Pelodiscus sinensis: one gene and its partners. The main gene of each other region encodes a partner of the protein of the gene in region 3 in a complex. Links are inferred from orthologs where the notes say so. Each region holds a gene or a part of one and is shown on either strand. Other genes may lie near its edges.

The links.
Region 1: CBLL1 (region 3) and RBM15B share a complex: the UniProt entries of both Homo sapiens proteins name them as parts of the WMM complex. The link is inferred for Pelodiscus sinensis from reciprocal best matches to the Homo sapiens genes CBLL1 and RBM15B.
Region 2: CBLL1 (region 3) and METTL3 share a complex: the UniProt entries of both Homo sapiens proteins name them as parts of the WMM complex. The link is inferred for Pelodiscus sinensis from reciprocal best matches to the Homo sapiens genes CBLL1 and METTL3.
Region 4: CBLL1 (region 3) and WTAP share a complex: the UniProt entries of both Homo sapiens proteins name them as parts of the WMM complex. The link is inferred for Pelodiscus sinensis from reciprocal best matches to the Homo sapiens genes CBLL1 and WTAP.

Annotation. Positions count from the first base shown.
Region 1 is NC_134721.1:43,355,581-43,362,999, reverse strand, and holds the start of RBM15B (putative RNA-binding protein 15B), read right to left. Parts: upstream 3,010-7,419; 5' UTR 2,613-3,009; coding exon 1-2,612. Other genes in the region: MANF (mesencephalic astrocyte-derived neurotrophic factor), read right to left, coding at 3,321-3,505, 5,743-5,884. UniProt on the Homo sapiens protein: RNA-binding protein that acts as a key regulator of N6-methyladenosine (m6A) methylation of RNAs, thereby regulating different processes, such as alternative splicing of mRNAs and X chromosome inactivation mediated by Xist RNA.
Region 2 is NC_134740.1:757,278-764,222, forward strand, and holds the start of METTL3 (N(6)-adenosine-methyltransferase catalytic subunit METTL3), read left to right. Parts: upstream 1-3,931; 5' UTR 3,932-4,017; coding exon 4,018-4,111; intron 4,112-5,273; coding exon 5,274-5,464; intron 5,465-5,654; coding exon 5,655-6,053; intron 6,054-6,305; coding exon 6,306-6,481; intron 6,482-6,934; coding exon 6,935-6,945. UniProt on the Homo sapiens protein: The METTL3-METTL14 heterodimer forms a N6-methyltransferase complex that methylates adenosine residues at the N(6) position of some RNAs and regulates various processes such as the circadian clock, differentiation of embryonic and hematopoietic stem cells, cortical neurogenesis, response to DNA damage, differentiation of T-cells and primary miRNA processing.
Region 3 is NC_134711.1:27,032,978-27,040,875, reverse strand, and holds the start of CBLL1 (E3 ubiquitin-protein ligase Hakai), read right to left. Parts: upstream 3,003-7,898; 5' UTR 2,877-3,002; coding exon of another isoform or gene 2,864-2,876; intron 1-2,863. UniProt on the Homo sapiens protein: E3 ubiquitin-protein ligase that mediates ubiquitination of several tyrosine-phosphorylated Src substrates, including CDH1, CTTN and DOK1. Targets CDH1 for endocytosis and degradation.
Region 4 is NC_134713.1:113,548,685-113,556,602, forward strand, and holds the start of WTAP (pre-mRNA-splicing regulator WTAP), read right to left. Parts: upstream 3,014-7,918; 5' UTR 2,848-3,013; coding exon 2,812-2,847; intron 2,684-2,811; exon of another isoform or gene 2,509-2,683; intron 1-2,508. UniProt on the Homo sapiens protein: Associated component of the WMM complex, a complex that mediates N6-methyladenosine (m6A) methylation of RNAs, a modification that plays a role in the efficiency of mRNA splicing and RNA processing.

The DNA of each region.
Region 1 (7,419 bases), on a different chromosome or scaffold from region 3:
AGGTACTGCTGAGAGAATTCACAGGGAGGGAAAGCATAAAGCATGCCTGTGCTGTCTCTGCTCTTTGCCCCTCCCACAGGCAGGCTGATCACCCCAGCAGCCTGCTTCTGTTTCAAGTAAGAGACCAGATTCCTGAGAAGCCTTCGCTGCAAGCCAGGCTCAACAGGAAAGGTCCCTTCAGCCCCTACCCCTCCTTGGGTGGCTTGGGTAGCCAGTAGCACAGCATAACCATTAGGACTGCCTTGTTTAATACGGCGAGTTACTTCATCCAGCTTGGGCTGGTCAAGCCGAAGTCTTTGAGCAATCTTGAGCTGTGTTAACTTCCCACCAGATGAATGGTCTTTTAAGAGCCCACTGATTACACCTAGGTCTCCCTCCAGGATGTGCATAGACGTGGGGAAGCAGCTATTTTTTAGCACAAGAAGCCCATTCCAAGCAAGTTGCAGTGTCTGAGCATATTCTGACAAGTTCTTTACTTTTTTGGTCTCAGATTTTGGCTCCTCGTGAGTTTTTGATTCCGATTCACCAGTCCGATGATTGCGTTCGCTGTCCCTTTTTTTAGGTTGAGGAAGATCAGAAGTTTCACGATGTGGTTTCTCCTCAGATACGTGCCGGTTGTTCTGAAGGGAGTTACTCTGATCCCTCTCTGTTCCAGACTCTGTAGTGTTGTTCTCTTTGCGAACCCTGTCTGGGCTGCGATCTAAAGCTGGCCCACTGGCCTTTGTCCTGCCTCTGTCCTCATAAGGCGAATGAGTAATCCTGCCACGGTCACTGGAAAGACTCCGGCGTTTCCGCCTTTCTTCCCAAGGCTTGGGCACACTGCGGTCACTGTCACTACCCCAACGTTCTCCGCTTCGGCTACGCACAGATCGGCCGTAGCTCTCCAAGTTATTTCTTCGCTCAGCATTTTTGGCAGGACTAGCCCAATCTGCCTCTGCAAAGCTCCTGTCTCTATCTGAGTACAGGAGATGTGGAGGAGTCCTATCTCTCACCCTTAAGTCTTGCTCTAGGCTTCTGTGCCTGCTATATCCATCAGGTAACAGCTCGTAGTGCACTGGGAGTGGTGCAGGCTGGTACTGCTGGGGGTATCTTGTCTCTTCAGCTTTGGCAAAATCCACTCTAAGTCTCCTATCCGGTCCACCCAAGGGGAAGCCCCTCATCTGCGCACAAGCAGCCTGGGCAGCATCCAGGCTCTCGTACTGAATATAGGCAAAGCTATCCCCCTTCACATAATCAATAGTCCTGATGCTACCAAAGCGATCAAACTCTCTAGCAAGGGCAGCCAAGGATGTGCTTGGTCCAAGGCCACCCACCCAGAGTCGTGTAGTAGGATTGGCTTTTCCATAGCCAATTTTGATGGGGTTCCTGCCAACAACCCGGCCAGACATGGCGACCTTGGCCCGGTGGGCCATATCCAAGTTCTGGAACTTGAGAAATGCATAGGCCCCACCTTGGCCTCGAGCAGGGCGCTTGATCACCACCTCCTCAATGATGCCGTACTTCTCAAAAGCACGTCTGAGCTCCACCTCTGAGACATTATGATCCAAATTCCCAATGAACAGATTTCGAGTGGCTCTCTGGTCATCCTCTGGCATCAGATCTTCCTCAGCCACTATGGGGTAGCCATAGGGTCGGCCACGCTCATCATACAACCCGTAATAATCCAGTGCCCTCTCCCGCTCCCGGGAGAGCCCAAGGGCAGCAGCCTCCAAGGCGAAGGCTGCAGCGGCCGCATGAGCATGCCGGGGCCGTGGCTCCCTCAGCAATGGGCTGGCAACAGGCGACAGTGACCTCTGTTTATACTGGTAGGTGCTGTGGATGGGTGGCAGGTAGCCCAGAGGCTCTGGGGAGGGCACAGGCGGGGGTGTGCGGCTCCTGCGACCCCCACGCAAGTACACAGGCTCCACTTTGAGGGGACGGTCGTAGAGAAGCAGCTGCCGGGCCCGGGCGTGCCTGCGGGCATCACGGGCGTCCCCCGGGTGCCGGAAGTTGACGTACGCGACGCGGCCCAGCTCGGGCGTGTGGGAGAGCTTGACGCTGATGTCGCCGGCGCCCCCGCTCGCGAAGCGCTGGAACTGGCGGAAGAGCCCGTCCTCCAGCAGCTGGTCGGGCAGCGCGGTGCTCAGGCCGCTCACCAGCAGCGTCTTGTACTCGCAGGAGCCGGGCGGCTCCACCACCAGCCCCGGCGAGCCCCCCAGCGGGGCCAGCAGCAAGGAGGGCGCCGCCCCCGGGGGCGGCCCGGCGAGCAGCAGCGACGGCGCCACCACGGCCCCCGGCAGGGCCTTGGCCTTGGCGGCCCCCAGCGCCCGCGACGACGACGAGGCGGCGGCCGGGGGCGCGGCCTGGCTGCTGCGGGCGCTGGAGGCCGAGGCGCCGCCCGCCGCGCGGTGGTTGGAGTCGCCGCCCCCGGCCCGCTCGTCCCCGCGGTGGCTGCGGGAGCTGGAGGCGCCGCCGGGCGGGAGCTTGTCGCGGCTGCTGCGGGAGGCGCCCGAGCTGCGGTGCGGGCCGCGCCGGCTGCTGCTCTCCCGCTCGCGCTCGCGGGGCCGCTTGGCGGCGGCCCGGCCCCCCCCCGCGCCGCCCGGGCTGGGGTCCCGCTCGCTGCCCCGCTTCATGGCTCCGGGGCCCGCGGCTCAGCAGGCGCCTCCGGCGGCCGCCGCCATCTTGGACAAAAGGGAAGGAAGGCGGCTCCGGAGTCCGGCCGCCGCGCCGCGCGGGCCACACGTCATCTCCCCGCGCCCCGCTGCATGGCGGCGTCAGGAGCGATGGCGAGTTGGGGCCGCGGCGCCTTCATCACGTGACAAGGGAAGCCCTTCCGTCGTCCGCGGGGGGGAGGAGTCACGTGATAGACAAGGACCAATGGAGAAAGCGATCATTACGTCCTCGCCTTCGGACGGGACCAACTGAGAGGGAGCCGCAGGGGAACTAAGGGCGGTGGCCGGCCGGGCCTTACGCATCCAGGCAGCGGCCATAGCGCTCCTCGCCCCCCACCCAGGGCGGGGCGAACCCTGTGGAACCGGCCTCGTGTATCCAGCCCCTCCCACGCCGGACCCCGCCCCGCCCCGCCCGCCTCAGCGCGCGCCCAGGCGGCCTGTGCCGCTCCCCCCCCCCCGCGGCGCAGAGAGAGACCCGCTTCCTTTCACACTTTAATACAAAAGTCTCCGCGGCGGCACCACCCGCAGGCGGCCCCGCAATACAAAGGGGGGGGGGGGGGAGACGAGCCGGTCACCCCGCCCGGCCTGGCCGCCCGCTGCAATAACTTACAAAAAGGGGCAAGAGGGACCCCACCGAGAACAGCGCAATGGGGGCGGGGGGGGGGGGGGTCAGAGATCCGTCCGGGAGCTGGCGGCCTTCGGAGCGTACTTAGGCATCAGTTCATTGATTTTGCGAATATAGTCTGACTTCTCTGCACAGCCCTTGCACGTTTCCCCCCAGTCATCCAGGATCTTCTTCAGCTCCTTCACTCTCAGTTTCTTCAGGTCCACAGTGCTCAGGTCAATCTGCTTGTCTGAAGAGTGAGGGGGGAACATTGGTTATTCAAAATGAGTAAAAACAAGCCTATTACAGGCGGTCAAGATTAACTAGATAACATATTAATGAAGTGGACAGGACAGTAAAGTGTGTTTGAGTTTTGTCCCCTTCAGTGGAGAAGGCCTATTCTTGAGGACATTAAAAACAAGGCACTGCCTCACTGATACAATCTACATTACAATGAATGGAATATAAAAACAGAAAGGAAGGGGAGAGGAAAAGGGAAATAAGATTTAAACAAACATACCAGGGGTGTTATTTTGCAATGAGGCAGGCCAACAAGATGACACGAAACTGAAGACAATTTTACACATTAGGACATATGGAATCAGTGAAGAGGCTGGCACGTTATACTGCTTTAGTCAGAGCTAGGTAGGGTTGTTGCTTATCAGTTCCAGGGAATTGGTGGGTGCTGGAACAGCGCCCCACCTGCTGCAGGCAGGACCCTGCCTCAGTTCCACAAGGGGCCTGCTGTGGGCAGGGACTGTTCTCATCTGGAACAGCCTGGCTGTGTCTAGACTGACAAGTTTTTCTGCAAAATCATCTGCTTTTGGGGAAAAACTTGCCAGCTGTCTACATTAGCCACTTGAATTTCCGCAAAAGCACTGACGATCTCATGCAAGATTGTCAGTGCTTTTGGCGGAAATACTATGCTGCTCCCATTCGGGCAAAAGTCTTTTTCCAAAAGACTTTTGCGCAAAAGGGCCAGTGTAGACAGCAGAGATCTCTTTCCCACAAAAAAGCCCCGATGGCAAAAATGTCGGGGCTTTTTTGCAGAAAAGCGCATCTAGATTGGCCACAGACTCTTTTCCGCAAAAAGTGCTTTTGCGGAAAAGCGTCCTGCCAATCCGGATGCTCTTTTCCAAAAATGCTTTTAACGGAAAACTTTTCCCTTAAAAGCATTTCCAGAAAATTATGCCAGTGTAGACGTAGCCCCTCTGTCTATGGGGAGTCCAGGCGCCCCACAGAAAGGGGCTGCTCTAGCAGAAGGTGGAAGCTAGGACCTGGTGACAGACCCAGCCTCAGTGTGGGGCTGGGGCCAGGAGCTGCTCCAGCTGGACTGAAGCAGTCCCCAGCCCGGATTCCAGTTTAGTCGTTAAACCGGTTAAAGGTTAGGTTGACCTAACCTTTAACTGGTTAACCAGGATTTTACATCCCTAGTGAGAGCAGCAGAAGAGGAAAGAATATTTTGAGCAGTTTTGTTGGAGCAGAACTGGAAGGCAGACTTTTAGGGAATCAAGAGGGACCATTAAAAATGAAAATTAGTCTCTTGTAAATATCTTTAGATAGGATTTGGTAACAAGAAGCTTGTAGTCAACACTAGGGAGGGTGAACATGTACATGTGTACTGGGTTAACCAGTGAGGCTCATCAGTTAATGTGCACAGTTACATGGTCCCACCTGCCCCACTGCCTCTGTATGCGGTTTCACGGTTACCTGAATAAATGCATTTAACAACTGCAGCCAATAGCCTTAGGCCTAGTTAATCTGTAATGAGGCTGGGTTGTTCCCCACAAAAATCTTTCCTATGTACTATTCTACACTCCAAATAAGAGTCTCCCAACTAGAGGCCAAGGGCTAAAGGCACAAAGGGGACTTAGGCCTTTGCTATGCTCACTACTGCAGTGCTGCACTGCTCAATGGCATTCATGGCCCCCACACATTGTATGAGGAGAGACACACACAAGAAAGGGACTCTTAGAAGCCAACAAGCTAACCAGGAAGCTGCCCAAGACAGCCAAGAGCAAAATGAAAAATGTGCTCTGAGCACACCTGCTGGATTGGGCTCTTTAGGCAAGACAGGTGGGAGCCAGCTTATTTGAAAATCCTGGCAGGGCTCCATGCAACTTGTTAGCTGTGGGACAGTATTAGGACTTAGGCAGCAGCCAAGCAGTGGTTTTGTGAACATCAGTGGTGCCTTCATGATGGACCTAGGCAGCTAGGGGACTCACTGAGAGTCTAGGATTTTACCTAATCCCAGGCATAAACAATGTTGCAGCCTAGATAAACCGATGTCTGTTGAAGAACTCCGAGTTGGATGTAAGCAAGTAGTCAACTATCACTATTGGCTACTTGCTCATCACCTTCCCCCCTCCACTTCAGCTCTGCAATATTAAGGGACAGGGTGCAAGTTCGTTACTTATCAGAACAAAGAACCATACTGTAGAAAAGCCCAACTATTTAACCACTTAGCTAATGTCTGCCCAAACTCACCATATTTTAGCTCACAGATCTGGCTGTCTTTCTTCTTCAGTTTCTCACAGATCTTCTCCACAGGGATGTGGTGACTCAGAGGTTTTGATACCTCATTAACCATTTTGGTGGCTGCATCACTGGTGGCCCCAAGGTAATAGCACTACAGTGGAAGAAAAGAATGAGGTGTCTAGTGATACTGAGGGAAAAGGATGCTTCAGAAGGATTCAGCTGATTTTTTTGGTTGCCTCCTCCCTCCCTCCCAAACACCCTGAGTTTTCTGCTTTACAAATCTCTCAGTCTTGCCATGCTTCTACCCGAGAGTGTTTTATCCAGTGGAGGTATCATCTCCAGCCTGATTCTGGCCTGCATATTTATACCTGCCTCTGGAAATTTCCACTACATGCATCTGACAAAGTGGGTCTTTACCCATGAAAGCTTATGCTCCAACACTTCAGTTTGTCTATAAGGTGCCACAGGACTCCTCGCCACTTATCCAGTGGAGTAGACAATACTACTGGTAAAGACTCTGAACCCTGCTGCTTTGGTTTGGATTTCTAGAGCGAGCTAAGTGAAGGGGGGGGGGGGGGAAGGGAATAGGAATAGCAGCCCCATGTTCACTCTACAGCCTGGAACACCTTAGCACCATAAGGAGCAGAGAGAACACGCTGCGAAGAAATGGCTTATCTGGCCTTTTCTCAAGCACATTTTGAACAGATGAGGTTGCAGCATTTGTTGGTAGAGAATATTTCTGCACAAGTCCCAGTACTACTATGAGAAAAGTGGACTTCACATTATGTTGAGGATGGTGGTCCTATTTCCTCCCTCCCCTGCCCGGTTATGTTTCATCTGAACTGAGCTGAAGGCAGTTTTCTCAGTTCAAGAACAGCTTGTCTTAAGTATGTCCCTAAGGATGCCTGACAAAGTCAGCGATAGTTCTCTTCAGAGATCAGTGGGCCTTTCTACTTGGGACATTCCATTTTGAAACCATTCTGGACTGCTTTCAATTAGCACTTTCCTCTGCCCATTTCCCTGTTCAAGGGTTGATAAGCATACATATTTAAACATAGTTTGTACAGAATCTAGATGCATCACGTAATGCTCAAGGGGTGCTGTAGAAAATTAAAATTTCATAAAAAAAAGCTCACTGCCCTTCAGTTACAGGGAGAAATTAGGTCAACCAACGGAAAACTGGGTTTTTTTTGGTATGGTGGGGAGGGACTGCATCCCTCCTCAAATCTTTCCTGTGTAGGCCTACACTGTACACACAACCAAGCAAGAGACTTTCCCAGTTTCTACACACTTCTACACTTCTACTACTATAATCTTAAGGATTATTTTGCAAAAGAGATGGTGATAGATTATTATAGTTTGAAACTGCATAATCCGACTTCCCTTGTCCAGCAACACCCCTGTCCCGACAATGTAGAGGTGACCCTGTGAGAATACTCAAGGGGATAAGCTGTTGAGCTGAGGCCAGGAGTGCTGCCAGACTAGGGAGCCAAGAGACCCGCTGGGAGAAGCACAGAGCCCCTGGTCACCAGGGCTAGAGCAGCAGTCAGCGGAGTAGCTGTACAAGCCCCCGGCAGCAGTGGGAGTCCCTCAGGTGGCAGCAGAGATGCTGTGGGAAGAGCATGAAGCCTGGGGAGGAGGGTGAGGGGAGAGCACGGAGCCCCAGAGGGTAGCAGAGCCATTGGG
Region 2 (6,945 bases), on a different chromosome or scaffold from region 3:
ACACACCAGGCAGGGAGCAGGAGAGACACACACATATACACGCCCCTAGCACGGTCACACACCGGGCAGGGGGCAGGAGAGACACACACATATACACGCCCCTAGCACGGTCACACACCGGGCAGTGGGCAGGAGAGACACACACATATACACGCCCCTAGCACGGTCACACACCGGGCAGGGGGCAGGAGAGACACACACATATACACGCCCCTAGCACGGTCACACACCAGGCAGGGGGCAGGAGAGACACACACATATACACGCCCCTAGCACGGTCACACACCAGGCAGGGGGCAGGAGAGACACACACATATACACGCCCCTAGCACGGTCACACACCGGGCAGTGGGCAGGAGAGACACACACATATACACGCCCCTAGCACGGTCACACACCGGGCAGGGGGCAGGAGAGACACACACATATACACGCCCCTAGCACGGTCACACACCGGGCAGGGAGCAGGAGAGACACACATATACACGCCCCTAGCACGGTCACACACCGGGCAGGGGGCAGGAGAGACACACACATATACACGCCCCTAGCACGGTCACACACCGGCAGGGGGCAGGAGAGACACACACATATACACGCCCCTAGCACGGTCACACACCGGGCAGGGAGCAGGAGAGACACACACATATACACGCCCCTAGCACGGTCACACACCGGGCAGGGAGCAGGAGAGACACACACATATATACGCCCCTAGCACGGTCACACACCGGGCAGGGAGCAGGAGAGACACACACATATACACGCCCCTAGCACGGTCACACACCGGGCAGGGGGCAGGAGAGACACACACATATACACGCCCCTAGCACGGTCACACACCGGGCAGGGGGCAGGAGAGACACACACATATACACGCCCCTAGCACGGTCACACACCGGGCAGTGGGCAGGAGAGACACACACATATACACGCCCCTAGCACGGTCACACACCGGGCAGGGGGCAGGAGAGACACACACATATACACGCCCCTAGCACGGTCACACACCAGGCAGGGGGCAGGAGAGACACACACATATACACGCCCCTAGCACGGTCACACACCGGGCAGTGGGCAGGAGAGACACACACATATACACGCCCCTAGCACGGTCACACACCGGGCAGGGAGCAGGAGAGACACACACATATACACGCCCCTAGCACGGTCACACACCAGGCAGGGAGCAGGAGAGACACCCATATACACGCCCCTAGCACGGTCACACACCGGGCAGGGAGCAGGAGAGACACACATATACACGCCCCTAGCACGGTCACACACCGGGCAGGGGGCAGGAGAGACACACACATATACACGCCCCTAGCACGGTCACACACCGGCAGGGAGCAGGAGAGACACACACATATACACGCCCCTAGCACGGTCACACACCGGGCAGGGAGCAGGAGAGACACACACATATACAGGCCCCAGCACGGTCACACACCGGGCAGTGGGCAGGAGAGACACACACATATACACGCCCCTAGCACGGTCACACACCGGGCAGGGAGCAGGAGAGACACACACATATACACGCCCCTAGCACGGTCACACACCGGGCAGGGAGCAGGAGAGACACACACATATACACGCCCCTAGCACGGTCACACACCGGGCAGTGGGCAGGAGAGACACACACATATACACGCCCCTAGCACGGTCACACACCGGGCAGGGAGCAGGAGAGACACACACATATACACGCCCCTAGCACGGTCACACACCAGGCAGGGAACAGGAGAGACACCCATATACACGCCCCTAGCACGGTCACACACCAGGCAGGGAGCAGGAGAGACACACATATACACGCCCCTAGCACGGTCACACACCGGGCAGGGGGCAGGAGAGACACACACATATACACGCCCCTAGCACGGTCACACACCGGCAGGGAGCAGGAGAGACACACACATATACACGCCCCTAGCACGGTCACACACCGGGCAGGGAGCAGGAGAGACACACACATATACAGGCCCCAGCACGGTCACACACCGGGCAGTGGGCAGGAGAGACACACACATATACACGCCCCTAGCACGGTCACACACCGGGCAGGGAGCAGGAGAGACACACACATATACACGCCCCTAGCACGGTCACACACCAGGCAGGGAGCAGGAGAGACACCCATATACACGCCCCTAGCATGGTCACACACCGGGCAGGGAGCAGGAGAGACATACATATACACGCCCCTAGCACGGTCACACACCGGGCAGGGGGCAGGAGAGACACACACATATACACGCCCCTAGCACGGTCACACACCGGCAGGGAGCAGGAGAGACACACACATATACACGCCCCTAGCACGGTCACACACCGGGCAGGGAGCAGGAGAGACACACACATATACACGCCCCTAGCACGGTCACACACCGGGCAGGGGGCAGGAGAGACACACACATATACACGCCCCTAGCACGGTCACACACCGGGCAGGGAGCAGGAGAGACACACACATATACACGCCCCTAGCACGGTCACACACCGGGCAGGGGGCAGGAGAGAGACACACATATACATGCCCCTAGCACGGTCACACACCGGGCAGGGAGCAGGAGAGACACACACATATACACGCCCCTAGCACGGTCACACACCGGGCAGGGGGCAGGAGAGACACACACATATACACGCCCCTAGCACGGTCACACACCGGGCAGGGAGCAGGAGAGACACACACATATACACGCCCCTAGCACGGTCACACACCGGGCAGGGGGCAGGAGAGAGACACACACACATTCACATGCAGCAAGGGGTACATGTTTCCTGGGGGCGAGGATGCTGCACAGGCTCCCCAGCAAATTACAGATACCCCCTCTCCTGGCTTGGGTCTTTGCCCCTCCCTTGCCAGCTTCCCATAATGCTCCCCAGCTGCCTCTGGTGCAGGGCCCCTCCAGCCTTCCCTCTCCGTCCAACCCTGCTGCCCTTCTTGTGATTTGCCTCTCTTCCCCCCGACTAGACCCCCACATGCATCTGCCCTGTGGCCAGGGAGAGTGGCCCCCTGCCAGCCCCAGGCTAAAGTCAGGGCTGCTGGGGAGTTCTTTGCAGCTAGGGGAGGATTCGAGGCCAGCAGGTCTGGCAGAGTTGGGATGGGAAGCCGGCAATGCAGCGCTTCCCCGTTTCCCATTGGCAGCAGTGGCCCGCAGCGGGGGAAGTCGGGACCCCTGTGAGGGGGTGAACTGCAGAGGGGCAGGGGGGATGAGTGTGCTGTCACCCAGCCCTCTCCAGCTGCCCCCACAGGTGGCTGCATGTGGGGGAGGGGGCACTGTTTGGGGGCGCACAGCGCTGGAGGAAGAGCACATGGTGTCTATCAGCCCCCAGGATCGGGACCAGGCTGCTTCGTGCCAGGATGGGCCTGGCTTCACACCCTCTTGCCAGTGACCAAGATGGCCGCCTTCATGCGCCTGCAGGGATGGCAGTCAGGACCGTGCCAGGAACCAACATGGCCACCATGGCTTCGCAGTAGGGCGGTGGCAACACCCTCTGTTCCCTGCCTTCATGTGAGACACCACTGACGGGCTGCAGCCCCGGCGCCTAACCCCCAGCATGGCTGGCCGGAGTCCACCTACAGGGGACGCCTATGACGAGCCAGTGCCAGGAACAAAGATGGCTGCCAAGACGGCGCCTTTCGTCCCTAGCCACGGTGCCGGCCGCACTTTGCCAGAGCCAGACATGGCCGCCGTGGGAGGGCTTTAAAAGCAAGATGGCCGTCGTTTGCCAGTAAATGAAATGGCCGCCTTATTTAAAAAAAAAAAAAAAAGATAACCAAGATGGTGGCTTAAGATACCCTTAACCAAGATGGCTGCCTTGCGCACAACACCCGAAACCAAGATGGCGCCCGCTTGCCAACAGACGTTATGGCGGCGGCGCCTTCGCGGTGCGGGCAGAAACCGGAAGTGCGCACGTCTTATCCCCGTCCCCCCGGAGGCACTTCCGGCGGCTCGGGTTCGCGGCCCGGCGGCGCAGCATCGGGCAGGGCGGCGGGGCCGCACCATGTCGGACACGTGGAGCTCGATCCAGGCCCACAAGAAGCAGCTGGACTCGCTGCGGGAGCGGCTCCAGCGGCGGCGGAAGCAGGATCCGCTGGGTGGGTTGCGGGGGGTCAAAGGGCAGGGAGGGGTCGCGGGGTCAGAGGGCGCGAGTGATGCAGTGAGGTCAGGGGGCAGGAGCAGGGTCAAAGGGCGCGAAGGCAAGTGGGGTCAGTGGAGTTCAAAGGGCACACGGGGTGGGGGTCAAAGGGCACAAGGCCATTAGGAACCCGTAAGGGTTCAGAGGTCAAAGGGCACCGTGCAGTGGGGGGTGGGGTGTCTTTGAGGAGTTGGGGTCAAAGGGCACGGGGGCAGTGGGGACACAGGGTCAAAGGGCAAGCGGTGTGAGTGGGGGCCAGGGGCAGGACGCGGGGGAGGGGCAAAGGGCACCAGGTGGCGCGGGGGGTGGGAGCAGCGGCCCAGCAGGCTGCCTGGCGGGGGGGGGGGGTGGGAGCAGCGGCCCAGCAGGCTGCCTGGCGGGGGGGGGGGTGGGAGCAGCGGCCCAGCAGGCTGCCTGGCGGGGGGGGGGTGGGAGCAGCGGCCCAGCAGGCTGCCTGGTGCGGGGGGGGTGGGAGCAGCGGCCCAGCAGGCTGCCTGGTGCGGGGGGTGGGAGCAGCGGCCCAGCAGGCTGCCTGGTGGGGTGGGAGCAGCGGCCCAGCAGGCTGCCTGGTGGGGGGGGGGGGTGGGAGCAGCGGCCCAGCAGGCTGCCTGGCGGGGGGGGGTGGGAGCAGCGGCCCAGCAGGCTGCCTGGTGCGGGGGGTGGGAGCAGCGGCCCAGCAGGCTGCCTGGCGGGGGGGGGTGGGAGCAGCGGCCCAGCAGGCTGCCTGGTGCGGGGGGTGGGAGCAGCGGCCCAGCAGGCTGCCTGGTGGGGGGGGGGGGGGTGGGAGCAGCGGCCCAGCAGGCTGCCTGGTGCGGGGGGTGGGAGCAGCGGCCCAGCAGGCTGCCTGGTGGGGGGGGGGGGGGGGGTGGGAGCAGCGGCCCAGCAGGCTGCCTGGGGGGGGGGGTGGGAGCAGCGGCCCAGCAGGCTGCCTGGCGGGGGGGGGGGTGGGAGCAGCGGCCCAGCAGGCTGCCTGGTGCGGGGGGTGGGAGCAGCGGCCCAGCAGGCTGCCTGGTGGGGGGGGGGGTGGGAGCAGCGGCCCAGCAGGCTGCCTGGCGGGGGGGGGGGGGGGTGGGAGCAACGGCCCAGCAGGCTGCCTGGCCTCATCCTGTTTCTCTCCTCAGATCTCAGGAACCCAGAGCTGGTGTCACCCTTCCGCAGCGACAGTCCGGTGCCCGCAGCCCCCACGCCCAGCAATGCCGCCAGGGAGCTGGCCACGGACCCCGAGCTGGAGAAGAAGCTGCTGCAGCACCTCTCCGACCTGGGACTGGCTCTGCCCACTGATGCCCTCTCCATCTGCCTGGCCATCTCTACGGTGAGAGCCCAGCCCCATTCCCCTGCACCCCCACTGATGCTGCAGAGCCCTCTTCCCCATCTCCTGGGCTGTTCCCTCCTTCCCCAGCTCAGGAGATCCACTGACGTGCTAACCCCTCTCTCCCTCTCTGGGGGTAACTTGGGGGGTGACTCCACACTTGCCCTGCCCCACCACCCTGTGTGTCCTGCAGCCAGAGGCGCCCGTCACCCAGCGCAGCGTGGAGGGCCTTCTACAGAAGTTTGCGGCGCAGGAGTTGATCGAGGTGCGCCGGGGGCTGTTGCAGGACGATGAGGAGCAGCCCACGCTGGTCACTTACGCTGACCACTCCAAGCTCTCAGCCATGATGGGCGCCGTGGCAGAGCGCAAGGGCCCTGCAGAGCAGGGCAGCACTGGGGGCCAGAAGCGATGGGCAGAGCAGGAGACTGGGGGTGCTGTTTCTTCCCCCGCCGGCACTGCTCCCTCTGCCTCAGCCGCCTTGGAGCCGGCCAAGGAGCCGGCCAAGAAGTCTCGGAAGCAGGCATCCGACCTGGACCTGGAGATTGAGAGCCTGTTGAGCCAACAGTCCACCAAGGAGCAGCAGAGTAAGAAGGTACCAGCCGGACACCTGGGTCCCACCCTGGCCATTGGATGGGGATCCAATGCTGGGTCCTCTCCCTGCTCAGGTGGGAGGGCAGGGGGCACAGAGCCAGGGGACTTTCTTGCTCTGGCTCTACAGTGAGTGGGATCTAGAGCTGGGAGCCCAGTCTCCTGGGTTCTCTCCCAACACCTGGGAGCAGAGTGGGATGGGGGGGAAGGGAACCCCAGACTCCTGGGTTCTTCTCCTTGCTCTCCCACCCCCCAGGTGAGCCAGGAGATCCTGGAGCTGCTGAACACCACAACGGCCAAGGAGCAGTCGATCGTGGAGAAGTTCCGGTCGCGTGGCCGCGCCCAGGTGCAGGAGTTCTGTGACTATGGCACCAAGGAGGAGTGCGTGAAAGCCACGGACGCCGAGCGGCCCTGCCGCAAGCTGCACTTCAGGTTGGAGCCCAGAACACCTGGGTTCTCTGCAGCTCTGGGAAGGGGGGGGGGGGGCGTTGGTGGGTTAGAGCCGGAGCGCCCGGGTTCTCTGCAGCTCTGGGAAGGGGAGGGGGGGGGGCGTTGGTGGGTTAGAGCCGGAGCGCCTGGATTCTCTGCAGCTCTGGGAAGGGGGGGTTGGTGGGTTAGAGCCGGGGCGCCTGGATTCTCTGCAGCTCTGGGAAGGGGGGGGTTGGTGGGTTAGAGCCGGGGCGCCTGGATTCTCTGCAGCTCTGGGAAGGGGGGGGTTGGTGGGTTAGAGCCGGTTCTCTCCCATCTCTAGGAGGGAGTGGGGCTGGTGGGCTTGGGCCCTGGGCTCTGGGAGGGGAGAGGTCCAGCTGGGCGAAGGGCAGGGTCGATAACCCGGACACCTGGGTTCCACGTCCGTGTATCTTTCCCTTCCCCGCGTCTGCCCAGGCGCATTATTA
Region 3 (7,898 bases):
AATATTATGTATTAGCAGGGATCGACAAATAGTGTAATCTACTCGCTCGCCTGTGGCACCCCAGAAGAGCTGGCACGGAACAATCTGCGCATACATAAAGTGCAGAACTGTGCAGCTGGCGAGCAGAGCTCGCCGCCGCTCGGCGAGCCCTGTCTATTAGGGATATTAAATATCAGTTAATGGAATAGTCAAGTAACCTCATGAATTCTTATCAGTCAACTATTCTATAGTCCCTCATGGCGGGGCCAGCAGCCAATGTACTCTGACCTCACTCCCACGAAGACCCTTTTCATGTGGGAGCTGGTCCATGAGAGGAGCCAGTTTAAAAACCAGCTCCCTTGGGGACTGGCTGCCTGTTACCCTGTGCTGCTGCGTCTGATAAAAAAAAAGCAGCAGTGCAGGTGGCAGCAGCCCCTGTTTAGGGGATGGCCTGAGGTCCCAGACCCGCACAAGCCGGAACTGGGCTGGGCTACCTGCCTGCCTCCTAATACACTTTAAATGCAGATCCGCAGCAGGGGTAGGTCCTGAACCTGTCACAAGCCAGGCTGTTGGCCAGCCTGCTAAAAAATTTACTGGCAAGTGTGTGGAGGAGGAGGAAAAATGCATGTAGTTTATAGCATTAACCTATAAGCTTTTGCTTATCAGTTAATCAACTACACTTTTACATCCTTATTATGTATCTATAGTACTGTAGCACCTATAATTGCTAATGATGGATCTGAATCCTTCTATGCTAGCTGCTGTACATACAGAAAAAGACAGTCCATGTCCCAAATAATTTACAGTCTAAGACTCAAGTATAAGACAAGAGAAAACAGAGAAACACAGAGAGGTAATGAGACAATAATGATAGCATGATGGGTAGTGGCCTCAACTTATTAGCATGCTAAGCACTGTGAAGTTTCTTGTAGGCCCTGCAGCAAAGAATTTTGAAGAAGAGTAACAAGTTAGCTCTGCTGAAGTTTACAGGGATCAACTATGATTATAATTTAAAATATTGTGTTTTTCAAGGAATGTACCTGTCAGGTTTGTAGACATATAAAAACAACAAGTAGTCCTGGGGCACCTTAAAGACTAACAAAAATATATATAATATCATGAGCTTTTATAGGCAAAATCCACTTCTTCCAGCCAGGCTGCAGCAGCTCCCCATGGTGCGGAGGTCCTGGCCTTGCCAGAGCGGCCCTCCACCCGCAGGATCCCATTTAAGTGGATTTTGCCCATGAATGCTCATGATACTATATATATTTGTTAGTCTCTAAGATGTCACTGGACTACTTGGTTTTTTTTTAAGTTACAGACTAACACAACTATCACTCTGAAACGTATAAAAACAGTATTGTAAATTATTCCCGCCTGTCTTGAACCTTTAACTCCAGGTCTCTTGAAGCTAGGACAGGAATAAACATGCTAGACAGCAAAGATCACCACAAAAAACAAGTTTTGCTATGAAACACTTTGAAACAAAAGTTTAATTAGTTTTACGTTTAAAATATGGACAGGGCTTGTAGCTGAAATGTAAAAATGTTTAAGGGAAGAGGTTCAGAATATTCTAAACAAGGTAAAGATTAAAACTAAGCCTTTTCAATGGGACTTTGCAATCCAATCCCCTTGTTAGTAGCTACAGTGGTCCATCACTGGGCAGGTCTACAGAGGCTGGAAGAGTTACAGTGGCTGAACTGTTCAGCCCTAGGGAAACGTGTCCTATGCTATTCTAGATTGACCCCTGCTGGCCAATTTCAGATACGACTGATAGTCATATTAAAAGATTACTGAGATCACCAAAAATACTAGTATAGTAGTGCCTAAAGACCTCAACAGATCTCCCTGTAATAGACACTGTACAAAACCCATAGCAAGTGACAGTACTCCCTTCTTTTTGGATTCACAATCTGAAAAAAAAAGCCAATTCAACCTTGTCACTATTACAATAGAGACAAAAAGTAAAAAGCACACAACAGTAAACAGTTCCTACTTCTATGGGAGGAGGATGCACTGGCTGAACAGTTTACACACTGCAACTATATTTTAACTATGATATCAGGTTTGGACAGAGAGGCAAATGGAAATGGTGCATCATAGAGGCAAGATTACCAATTGTAGATGTTCCCCATATTGGAAAATCATTACTCATTTTTTATAATAAAATATTTTCTTTTCATATGCACTCGTGGGCAGCCAATTTCAAAGAGCAATGCTATTTTACAGCAGAAGTCAAAAGCGGGAGTCTGCCTGTTCTGACCAGCTACAGAAAAAGTGCAGCACGTTATACAAACGGTATATTCCTAGACCTTAGCAGATACAGCGAGGTGCTCCCCATCCGCAGCCACTTGCGCCTCTGCTAACTACACGCCGAGAACCAGAGTTCGTTCAAGGCGTCCTGATCCTTTAGCCCGACCCCAGGAACCTCAGCCATTGCTACGGCAGGGAGGTGTAGCCGGGGTCTGCTGCAGCACCCCCGCCCCGCTCCATAGCTGCGCGGGCGGCGAAGGGGACCGCGCCTCCCCGGGCCAACAGTCCCAGCGGCCTTCCCCGCCCGCTCGGGGCCGCGCCGAACGAGGCCGGTGGGGATCGGTGCCCGCTCCCCGGCAGGGCCCGGCGGAGGCTGGGGCTCGCGGTCAGAGTGGAGGCTCGGGGGCGCAGGGACGGCGGAGCCCGGCCGAGTCCCCTCCACCCGTACTATGGGCCGGCGGCGCTGGGGTCCAGGCCGCACTAGGCCCCAGGCATCGGGCCGCTCCTCCGGCCCGCTCCCCGTGGGGCCTCCCCGTGTCCGACTGCCCAGGCCACACCACGCACTGTCCGGGCCAGGCCCGGCCGGGCGGGGACGGGTATAAATACGGCTCCCTCCCTCTCCCCTCCTCACCATTGTGGTCCATGATTCGGCGCGGGGCAGCGTGGGAGCGGAAATCACCACGCCGGAAGGGCGGCACCGGAAGCGCCTGGACAGCGGAAGCGGAAGCCGTCGCCGCCAAGGGGCGGATGGTCAAGTAGGGGAGAACTGAACTAAGCCGAGACCCCGCGCTTAACGGGAGGGCTGCGGGCCTCGTTTCGGTGGGCAAAACGAATAAGCCCCACGTGAGCTACATCTCCCAGTATGCACCGCGGTCCCGGGCAGGGACTGTGGTTCCTAGCCCATCGCATGGGGGGGGGACTTTTTTTTTACTCTGGCATGCTGGGAGCTGTAGTCCCGTGACTTGCTCTCCGCCACGGGCCGCGCTTAGGGACTGCTGGCAGCCCGCAGAGAGTCTGAGAAGGTTCGCGCCCTGCGCGTCTCTGCGAGCGCCCCCCGGGGGGAGAGGAAGGGCTTGACCGACAGGCCCAGGCTGCAGCCCCCATCCCGGGAGGGAAGAATTGAGGCTAAATTGCAGGTGATGCCTGAGGGTATTTACGACATTTCTTTCCATGGCTCTGCTGCTCAGCTCTGGTGAGACAAGTCTCGGAGTTGTAGCCTTGCTAGTCTGTAAGCCTGCGTCTACTCCTTGCAGCTAATTTGGGCCATCGGAGGTATCCCAGAATAGCTGCCCTGCGTCTTAACGGCGTGCCTGTTATTTGGAAATATATAAGGGGCTCGCTATTCTGACGTCTTTTAACCCTTCTTCCACAAAGAAGAAGGGACATTTCGGAATAGCGAGTTATTTTGGTGCTGCGTATACAGTGCCAAGTTATAAGATAAGCTATTTCAACATTTACTCAGAATAAGATATGCAATTTGTGTAGCTCAAATTGTGTAGCTTATTTCACGCTGTGGGTGCAGTGTAGATGCACCCTAACTGGGGGCAGAGGCTGCGATGCCACTCAGCTGGGCGCTTTGCTTTGGCGAGGTGTGAGCCCTTAGGGTTCCACCAGTGGCTCTCTTAAGTTTCGTCTGTAACCACTTGATCAAGACACCAACTTTGGGGTCTGACTGACTGCAGACTCTCCTTCTATTGCATGGCTCTGGCAGCTTGTTCATTATGAAAAAAAGCAAAAGTTAAAAGACTAGCAGAGAGAGCGCTCCTCCCTCCTCTCTCCCCCTGCCGCCCCATGGCTATGCTGACCATATGTTCTGGGTTTTCCAGGACAGTCCCACATTTAAATCTGAACTGGTGGCCACGTAAACACTAAAAATGTGCTGGAAACAGCAGCGCAGCTAGAAGCAGCTGCGCACTGCTGTTTCCTCTCCCTCCTGCAGGAATGCAAGTATGCAGGGACCTTCCTAAAGATTTTTCCTTCTGCTCTAGAACCTAGCCAATATGAGCAGAAGGAGGCGGTGCCTGACTTCTGGTCCTCTGTTCTCTGGCAGACAGATAGTCCTGTTGGGAACCACCGGTAAAGCAGCAGCATGTAAGTGGCCCCACTTTCCCTCCCAGCCTGCCTTCACTGAGACCCCACTGCTGCTCTCCCCTTTAATTTTAGTAAGAGCCATGTGGGTCGTCTTAGATTTAAAAGGGCAGAACCACATAGTAACCTGGCTTCAGCTGAGCTGGTAATCAGATGATTCCTGGTTCTGCACAGAGCGCCGGCTTTGTCCTGCTTTACAAATCTAAGAGCCCTGTGGCTTTTCTTAAATCAGTGGTTCTCAAAGTGCAGCCCAGTGGTCCGCAGCTGGAGCTCAGCTAAGCTCCCTCCCCCCTCCACTGGGATAAAGGTGACTAGAGGGGCGCTGGCTGGGATTGTATATTTCAGCTCTTGCAAGCTGGTGCCAGGTTGGGCGCCTGAGGCAACGGGAGGCTGGGGCAAGTTATGGCTGTGAGCAGCGCTACAGACAGCGAGAGGCAATGCACAACTCCAGGAAGGGGGCATTGCAGGCTAGGCACCCTGCACCTGCCCATGTGGGGAGTTGTTGGCATCAGGTATCCACTGTGGCAGGAGCTGCCAGGGTTGTGTGGACTGCCTGCACGTGGGACTTGTCTCCCACGGCAACTTCTCTGGAGTCTTTTGTCCCAGCAGCAGGCAAGTAAAGTTTTAGCCTGATGCGGACTGCAGTGCCTTTGGTGCGGGGCCCCTTGTGGCCAGGCTGTGACAGACTTGACATCAGAGCAGCACCTGATGTGTGGACGGGCTCCACGTAGGCATGTGTGGGAGCCTGGCCTGGGTTCCATCGTGGTGCATTGACTCCCAATCCAAGCACCCACCTCACCCCTTATTGGGACCCACCAGCTTGGAGTGGAGTGGTTGAGATTGCAAATCACTGATAGGAATGTTACATTTAGATTAATTAAATAAGTGAATAGTCAATAGAATTTTCATCAACTATAGGAAGAGCAACAAGAATGATTAAAGGTCAGAGAACATGACCCATGAAAGAAGACTGAAAGAATTGGGCTTGTTTAGTTTGGAAAAGAGAAGATTGAGGGGGGACATGATAGCGGTTTTCAGGTATCTAAAAGGGTGTCACGAGGAGGAGGGAAAAAACTTGTTCTTCTTGGCCTCTGAAGATAGAACAAGAAGCATTGGGCTTAAACTGCAGCAAGGGAGGTTTAGGTTGGACATTAGGAAAAAGTTCCTAACTGTCAGAGTGGTTAAACACTGATATAAATTGCCTAGGGTGACTGTGGAATCTCCATCTGTGGAAATATTTAAGAGACATTTATCTAACCTACTATCAGGGATGGTCTAGAACAGTGGTTCTCAAGTTGTTTCAGTCCACGGACCACTAGGCCAATCAAAAATTTTTTGTGGACCACCTCATTTTTGAGACATGATAAAAAAGAGCAGACAAATATTTTGGTTTGAAACTTATTTCTTACTAACAGATTTTTGGATTCTCTTCTCACTGACAAGCTTTTCAATGTTTGGAGTGGTACTTGATAATGCACAATGAATATCGCTTTCCACTGCAAGCCGATTCCTCTGTTTGGACTTAACATGCAACAAACACAAAAATCCAGTCTCACACATATAAGTTGATGCAAATGGCAAAAGAAATCTGACTGCATGTGCTGACCGATTTGGGTAACTCCCGGTCACGCTGGCCCCAAACTTCTCTATAGTAGACTGCTGGTACATGTCTTGAGCTGCAAAATCATTTTTCAGATCCAAGAATTCCTCCTGCAGATCCTCTGAAACACTGTTAACATCTGTTGTAAATGGATTCCTGATGAAAGATAATCCATCCCTTGTCCTATCCACCTCCAAAAAGTATCGTTGGAATTCATCTCGTAGCTTCCGTAAATGATTGAGAGTTTGCATCCAACTGGCTTCCTTTTCCCCGACCATGGCATCCACATATGGAAATTAAATCAAATTATTGCCTTCAACTCTTACGATCCAGAGTTCCAATTTGTCAAGAAAAGCCTTGACGATGCATTGGTGAGAGAACAGATTTGCACCTTTCCCTTGCAGCTGAAGATTCGGTTTGTTCAAGATTCCAAAAATATCAACAAGATACACAAGTTCTAAATTTGATGGTGTCAGCACATTTCGGAATTCCTGTTTTCCTTGAGCCTAGAGAAATAAATCCAACTCCTCTCTCAACTGAAAAACTCTGTTGAGTACGTTCCCTGCTGACAACCACTGTAGAGAAGTGTAGAAAAGCAACACATCAAAGTCGGAACCCATGTCCAGGCAAAATCTTTTGAACAGCCTGGTGTTCAGCACTGATGATTTGATGCGATTCACCACTTTCACCAACCCTTTGAAAATGGTGTTCAGTTGATCAGGCAATGTTTTTTGATGCCAAAGCTTCCCTATGAATGAAACAATGAGCTCCGGTTACCATAGGAGCGTGCTGTTCACCAGCATTTGGAAGCCCGATCTTGAGCCCAGCATGGCAGGTGCACCATCAGTGGTGACACCCACAAGATTTACCGAATCCAGACCATGTACTTCAAAAAAATTGTTAACAATTTCTATCACATCCTGAGCCTTTGTGGTGGTATCAGGAGTCTTACAGAAACTCGTCTTTGAAGTCTCCCTCAACCATGTATCATACGAACACCAATAGCTGAGAGCACAATGCGACGTCGGTCGATTCATCCAATTGTATGGCAAACAATGGAGACTTCATTTCATCCACTACTTGTTCACTGATGTTCTGTGATATCTCATTTATCTGTCTCAATACTGTGTCATTAGAGACAGATATATCATTCAGCTTCCTTGCTGCTTCCTTGCCAAGAACAAGCTGCACCATCCCTTTTGTACAGGGGAGCACAAGTTGCTCTACAATGGTGTCATGGCTCCTTCCCCACTCTGGCACGATAAATGCAGAAGTGGGGGCCAGAAAAAATACCCCAAAACCTTATCTACCAGGCTTTGGTATAAAACTTCCCCCTAAAATCTTAACAACCTAGATTTTTGGGAATAAAATCCTTTGCAGACACCACCCAAGTAATAATAAAGAAATCAGGGGAGAAATCACTTGGGAAATCTCACCCCTAAAGTAAAAACCAGGACACATAATTAACCAATACCAGGTTAATAAAAAAGAAAAGAGAAAGCTTTTATTATCACCATAATCTTCCTGTTGCAAGCATAATGACTAGATTGAAAGGTAACAACATATACTTTCATGGAGAGACTCCATTGACCTAGAACTTAATTACAAAGAAAAGCCAAAACATTGTGTAAAAGTGCACAAACATCAGATCCCATACCCAACCCATAAAATAATAAAACCTAATGGATTTATCTAAACTTTATCCTACTTACAGAAAGTGAAGAATAGTTTCTTAGAGAGAGAGAGAGAGAGAGAGAGAGACATGTCTGTCTCCCTCAGAAGCTGGAGGGAACTCCCCAGAACAAAGGAGGGAAAAACCAAAATTTCCTTTGGTCCAGTGTGACGGACCGGGCCGTGTCTGGGCACAGCTGAGGGCGTCCGCTCAGGGCGAACTGCTCGAATCCGGGGCTACTTACAGCCCCCGACTGGTGACCTCTCCACACAGGCCACAAACCAGTCTCACAGAGCGCTTCAGCAG
Region 4 (7,918 bases), on a different chromosome or scaffold from region 3:
TAACAAGACAGCCTGCATCCGTACATTAAGCTGGATTTGACCAGTTGTGATGGAAACTTCCAAGAAATGTGAAGATGCAGCAGCAGAAGTCCCATTAAATAAGTCTGTGAGTATCATGTTTCATTGGTGCTATTATTAATCGTTATGTCAAATAATAATATTAAGTTATATATTTTTAGTCATGCAAAGGGGCATTCTTATACGAATGCTCTTTGTTGACCTCCTGTTCTGAATTTTGATGCAGTTTGGCTCTTTGGTTTGAAAAGGTTGCCAGCCTCTGCCCTAGATATTACCCTTAATATGACTGTGTATTCCCCCTCACCAATTGGGTTAATGTTATCAATGCACAGGACAGATGCACAAGGGACAGAATTCATGTTGCATGAGTAAATTTAAGTCTGGCATTTCTTAACTTTGGGGTTGACGGTCCAAGCTGAAAACTCTCTCAATAGTTTTTTGTATGCGATATTATGTATACACCTCCGCCTATTGCTGAACCATGTCAGACTTTCTATATCAGAAATACATCACAAGTGTTAGCATTTACAATCTGAGAGGTTTACAGAGCTGACTGATAGCACTCCTGTAGTCAACATTTTGAGAAGCAATAACTAACTTCCTCAAAACTAATGTGATATCTATAGCAGCATGAAGGAGAATCAGGCTATCGTCTAGACTACAATGTTTTACCAGAAAAACGTACACTAATTGCACTTCGCAATTTGTGTACTTTTTTCCAATAGTTTTGTTAGAAGAGGCTTTTCTGAAATTTGGCCCAATTTCGGGAAAAACTGTCTTTTGGAAGAGCTCTTCTTCGGCATCTGAAAGAGCGCATCTGCTCTTCCGCAAAAAAAAAAAAAAAAAAAAGCAGAAGAGCAGATGCATTCCCTGGACATAGCCTCAGAAGTCACCCTAAATTTGTTTTGTGCTGGAATACCAACTGGTTGTTTTAAATTGCTTACTGTTTCATTGCCATATGTACTTGGATACAGAAAAAAGCAAATTAAAGAAGAGCAAAGCAACAATCATATAACCATTTCAGCATGAGGTATCTAACTCAGTGTACAGTTACTCCAGACTTGTTTGTAAGCTCACCATCATCCCCAAAACACTAACCACAGTACACAGAATGTTTACTAAAAAGTTTGTAATTTTCTGAAAGAGCACAACAATGCCATTTTCTACAAGAACAATGAAAGTTATTTTCAAAACTAATCTTTAATATAGCCTACTAAAATAAACACTGAATTTATGTTGATATTTTGAATAATTTTATTTACTGCCATGCTGAAGAACAACACCTCTTCATTCAAAGATTAATTCTGGTGACAAATGGTACCTTGTCAAGTTTCTAGTCTTCTACTTTTGCTCTCAGAAATATCAAAATACAAATAAGCAAAATACAAATGTATGCATTAAGACTGCCAACTGGAACATGCAATAAGTTTATTGACTATGTAATTTTTTTTATAATTATAAGCTGATTGGAGCAGATGTTACTTGACCATAGATGTGGACACATGAACTAAAAAGCTCAAGCTTAAACATCACAATGTTCAGTTTTATCTGATATGCTACTTTACAACACGGTCATAATTTCTGTAGTATTTTAAGGAATATGCAATATTAAAACAAGTTAAATGACAGTTAATAGCAATTGTTTTAGTTAAAACCAGGAGCCCCTCCTCCTTGTAGGAGGAACAGCCTGGAGCCGTCAGGAATTTTTTTAATACTTAGCAGGTAATTTTGATACGATGCTAAAGGCTCTTGATACTTTGCGTAGAAGCCACCATTACAGGTACGAAGCCTCTGAAGCAAACTACAAAGTGAGGCCACGGATTAGCAGAAATATCGGCGCCGCCTCAACTTTAGGCTCGGTGGGTAGAGTCCCCCCGCCCTGCCGGAACCACGCACGGAGCGTAAAGCTAAGCGTGTGCATCAGCCTCCGCGAGACAGGAACCTCCACACTCGGCCATTGCGCCCTTCCGCCACGGAAACCGCGCGGCTCCCCCACGGCCCTCTGGGGACGCGCGCAGCCAGGGCGCAGCGGACGCTCCGGCAGCAAGAAAGGCCATTTGACAGCGGGGCGCACAGGCCGCTCCCTGCGGCGGGGCCGAGGAGCATTGGGGGGGAGGGAGTAGAGCCCCCGAACGGCTCCAAATCCCGCCTACGCTGCGCTCGGCCCTTCCTAGCCGCTTTCGCCACAGCCTGAGCGGAGCCAGCCCAGACGCGGGGTGGGGACAATGGGCGCCCCCGGGGTCGGGCCTCACGCACCGAGCCCCGCTCTCGCCTGCGTCTCTCACAAAATGGCTCTAGGTGCTGCTGCGCTGCCCTCCCCCCTAATCCCCTCCCGCCGTAAGTAGCGGCCGGGCCCCCAGGCTCAGCACCCCGAGCCCCCAGAGCAGCGGGGCGGGAACACCCTGGTGCTCGGTGCGCTCCAGCAGCCACGTCCCGCGAGGAGAAAACGGCGGCGGCGGCCTGCGAGGGGGAGGCCGCTCGGTGACTCACCTCCTGCTCGCGGCGCGGAGGCCTCGCTCTCCCCGCGCACTGACTACCAAAGCCCGGCCCGTCGCATCGAGGGCAACACCTTCAGCGCCCAGAAACGGGGCCCTGCGGTCGCCGCCTCCCCTAGCCCGCGCCGCCGCTCGCTCTTTATTTGCAGCTTCTCTGCGCTACAAAATGGCGCCGGAGGAGGAAACGCGAGCGCGGCCGCCCCGCCCCCGGGAGGAGCCGTTGCTCCAGCAGAGGCTGCCCGAGCCCGCCGCGCGCGCAGGGAACGCCGGGAGGAAGGGCAGCGGCAGCAGGACCCACCCGCGAGCTCTCCTGTCCCGCGCCGCCCTCGCTCATCCGGCAGCCTCTTTCCCCCAGGCCTGGGCTACTTCCTGAGCGCTCCTCCTCCTTCGTGCCGCAGCCCGGCCTGGAGCCCCCGGCGTCTCGCTCTGGTGCGGCGCTTAGCCTGGCAGTTGAACCGACATCGCACGGGCCGGGAGCGTATCTGCGGCGCGCGAGGGGGACGAAGGGGACGCGGAGGGATACAGCCTCCCACGTAAACTACCTGCTGAAGTGAGGGTTCGGGCGGAAGGAGACCGCCGTCCAGGATGCAGGAAGGCGTAGCGCTATTGGCCGCGAGCCCAGCACGCTTCCCCCTCCCCCCCCCGCGGGGAAGCCCTGCTTATCTCCACCCTCCCCCTGGGCAGAGCAGAGACTTTCCACTGCCCGGCAGGTCCAGAACATGCACCAGCAGGGGGGCCAGTAAAAGGCATGACCTTGCCCTTTGTGTTCTCGCGCATTTTGGAGCCCTTCCCCCTGCCCCCCATCGTCTTTTGGAGCCAGCCTTGGTGTTGCCTTTAAAGGGTCACCGAAAAAATAAAATATGCTCAGAAGCAAAGTTACTTACTGCTACTAACCAGCGTACTAAACAAAAAGGATTCTTTAAAACGTGATTTTTCACCATGTATGTTGCATGGTTTACTACCTGTTGCCTAGTCAGTTTAATATATTGGTTAGTTTCAGTGGTCCAGTACAAGGTTGCAGGCTTCAGGCAGTAAACTGCAAGGAAATGTTTAGATCCCATTAGTGCTCAAAAGAATAAACATTTTTTTGCTGATTTTAAAAACTGGAAAACATTGCTTAATGCTGGACTTAAAGTAGAGTTTGAGTTTGAGCACGGCAAATTATAATGCAAGGACTAAAAAGCATGCACAAATATATTTGTCCCTAGAGGGCAGATCTGATTTTCCCTCCATACAAATCAGTCACTGTGTTTATCAATATTCTAATCTATGTTCTCTAGCAAGTTGTTTTGGATATTATTTTCTTTTTAATCCCACCTCTCTCTCTCTCTCTCTTTGTGCCTTTCATATAGCAGATCGATGATCTTTCATATTAAATTGTGCTTTGCAAATTGCTTATTTTTTAATATTAAATCATATGGGTAGAGTAGTAAAATGGTAGTGACCCCCTAGCACTACCCGTATATTTTAATAAAATAAAAGCATCTGGTGCAATATCAAAGTATTATTGAACAACCAAAGAAAAAACTCAACATTCTTGGTGAACAATGAATTAAGATTTTGATCACAGAATTAGAACAGGGTATGATACTTAACATTTTTTCTCCATCTCTCTCACCCAAATCCAGTTTCATGTACAAACACCTAGTGTACTGACAATGTAAGTAATACCATAAAATAAATTAATTTCTGGTCATCACCCATATTTAATTTGACTACTTCTAAATCTTCTTGTGGTATAATGTGCAGAAAATTGAAGGGAGGGGGGCTCACCTGTTTTATGTCACTCTTACCATGTAAAACAGAGGCCTTACATATTATATATGCAGGAATGGGTCTCTGCTCCTATAGAATTCAGGAGATCCACAAAAGTGGAAAATCTACAGCTGACCAGATCCTGTGGATAGTAAATAGAGTGACATGCAGGAATCAAAGCACAGTTTGTGAGCATCTCACACACTCAAGAAAAACTGCATATATCAATATGGTGGTAAGTGCTTCAACCTCTTTTGAAAGTCTCACTGCCAAAAAATGGGTGATTACAAAGACCAAGTGAAAAATGAAAGGTATGCACCATTACAAGTCAGCTAATTCCAAACACCATAAAATAAGAACTAAAAGCCACAATTAAATTAAAGAAAATATTAGAAACTTTATTGGAATCCAGAGACAGAATGAGTTGAGACTAATCCGGAATTGATCAACTTTAAGTAAATTACATTAATAGAAGTTACAGAAAGTAAGTTAAAGCAAGATGGTTATGACAGTTGACATTAAACCTAAGATTTTAACATGAAGTATTTAAAGTTTTATCAAGTAGCAATAATGAAACTTTGTTAAATCATTTCATAAATTCTCATCAAAATGCAGTGATTTTAGTAATTATGACACTTGGAGTGTATTAAAGGCTCAAAGGATCCTTAAAGTGCTGTGACGGGGCAGGCACAGGGTCCGCGCCGCCCCGCACTGAGAAGGGGAGTCCGGGAACAGGAGTCCCGGCCGAGACGACCGTCGGCCCGCCGCGTTCCCCGGCGCCGGGCGATGACGTCACCGGAGGCGACGGGGAGAGTGCGGGGAGGGGCGGGGCCTGGAGTCACGGGACCACGCCGGCCCCGGCGCCCGCAGGGGAGCGGGCCATTCAAAGGGCACCGGACCATGGACCGGGGGAGAGGAGTGCTGGAGGCAGGACAGAGGAACCGGGTCTGTTGGGAGACCCTGGGGAGGAGACACGGTACTCGCGGCGGCTGAAGCCTCACCCGCGACAGGGACTCCGGGTGAGTCTATCCCCTTGCTGGGGGGAACGCGCCGAACAACCGGCCGGGAAGAAGTGACCCAGGGCGGGGCCGTGGTCCCCGCGAGTGGAGGGTTTGGGGGGAACGTAACCCCCTCCACTGACTAGGGACTAGCGTCCCCGTCTTAGGGCCCTGGGTCGGGGCTCGGAGTGAGGGAGGGCCCGAGCCCCCTTCCCGGCGTCTGCGAGCCAGTGCGGGCTCCGGCATCCCGCACGGTCGGCCGGGAGCTACGATCGGTCAGAGGGCCAAGAGTCCGATCAGCTAGGAAGGACGAGGGTCACCCGAACTCGGGGTGACCACCAGGGCACAGGGTTACAGGTGGTGGAGAATGTGGGCATGACCTGAGCCCCGGTTAAGGGGGCACATATATACTCACTCGGAAAAAAAAAAAAAAAAAAAAAGAGAAGAAGAGAGGGGGGGGGGGGCCTAGAGGTAAGGGAGCGAAACAGGTCGGTCCTCCCGGGGGTAGGGTCCTTCCTCTGGTTATAACAAGCTAATTTCCCCAGGGATAATGGAGCTGAACAAAGTAGTGGACTGGCTAATAGATAACCAGAAGCAGTGGCAGCAGCAGCAGTCGCAGGCGCTGCAACAGGTCCTGGATAAGCTCCAGGAGCATCAAGCTGCAACTAGCATGGCCGGTGGGGGCGCGACACCGGCGGGAAACGACGAAGACGTAGTGGGCCGCCAACTCCCCATCAGGCTGACGAAGTTGGGCCCTGAAGACGACCCAGAGGCCTTCCTGGTAACCTTCGAACGGGTGGCGTTGGCGGCGAAATGGCCACAGGACCAATGGGCAACGCTCCTAGCTCCCTACTTGTCAGGGGCGGCCCAACTGGCTTACCGAGGAATGTCCGCAAGAGACGCGTTATGCTACTATAAGGTAAAGGAGGCCATCTTAGATCAACTAGGGATCTCCCCGGAATTCCACCGGCAAAAGTTCCGCGAGGCCCGGTACGGCCCAGGCGAACGCCCGCGGGCCGTGGCTCAGAGGGTACGGGAAGCGGGGATGCGCTGGCTGGAACCCGAAAATAAGTCCGGAACGCAAGTGGCCGAGGCGGTGATCTTAGAACAGTATGTGAAGATCCTCCCAGCCGAGGGGCAGCGTTGGGTGAGACGACACCTCCCAGAGACTCTCGAGGAAGCCATCACCTTGATGGAACGCTTCCTTGCCGCCGAAGGAACAGTAGCACCGCGCCCCCGCACCGGGCCACGAGAACCACATTCAGGAGGCCTTGCCCCAGCGAAAAGTGGCGCAAAGACATACGGCCCCAGAACACCGGCAGGCCCAACCATGGGACGAGGACTAGCGCCCCGGTGGGACCACCCGGAGGGACGAACCCCAGAGGCCGGAGGGCCAACCGGAGTGACGGAGAGGAACCCACAACCCGAAGGAGGAACCAAAGGAGCCTGCTACCAGTGCGGATAGGAGGGGCACTTTAAGAAAGACTGCCCCATGATGGATTGCACCTTCGGGCAAGGCCCCACGCGAAAGGTAACCCGGGGCGAACAGGGGCGGAGGCAAATGTTGCATGAGATAAGGGTTAATGGACGCCGGGTGAAGGCGGTGCTAGACTCCGGGTGCGGGCAAACGATAATCCGAGCCAACATCCTGGGGTCCCAAGTGCCCCGGGGGCCGAGAGTATACATGAAATGTGTACATGGGGATATCCACCCCTATGCGACGACAAGGGTGGAAATTGATGATGGGAGGATAAGGGACTCATGTATAGTCGCAGTGAGCCCCAATCTGGCATACCCCGCGTTGCTAGGCAGGGACTGGCCCGGACTGGGGTACCTACTAAGTAATTGGGGGTTGGAACAACGGAGCAAGAAGGGGGAAAGGGACAAAAACCCCAGGTTTGCAGCTCACGGGGAGGAAGTAGACGACCCAGACGCCGGAGAGGAGGGGACGAACGGGACAGAGACACCAATGCCCCACCTGGACCTGGACGAAGGTGATTTCCTCGCACTCCAGAGAGAGGACCCGACCTTGCAACACGCGTGGGCTCAGGTAGGAGAAGCCAGAGACACCGGAAGAGGGGGACAGGGTCCCCGGTTCGAGGTGCATCAGGATCGCTTGTTCCGGGTCACTCCACAAGAAGGGGGGACGGAGGTGAAGCACCAGTTGCTCGTGCCAAAGCCCTACCGGGGGGGGGGTGCTAGAGCTTGCCCACGATCACACCTGGGCTGGACACCTAGGAACAGAAAAAACACAGCACCGGGTGCTCCAGAGGTTCTATTGGCCTGGGGTATATCAGGACATAAAGAATTATTGCGCCTCATGCCCCCAGTGCCAAAAGACGTCACCTACAAGGGTGCCTCCGGCGCCTCTTATACCTTTACCCATCGTAGGGACGCCTTTCGAGCGTATCGCACTAGACCTGGTGGGGCCACTAGAAAAGTCCAGCAGGGGCTATATCTACATACTCGTCATTATAGACTACGCCACGCGATTCCCCGAAGCCGTCCCCTTGAGACGAGCAACCGCGGGGGCGATAGCTGAAGAGCTAATGAGGCTATTCTCGCGGGTAGGCCTACCAAAGGAACTATTGACAGACCAGGGGATGAATCTAACGTCCCGAATAATGACAGAGTTATGCAAGCTTTTACAGG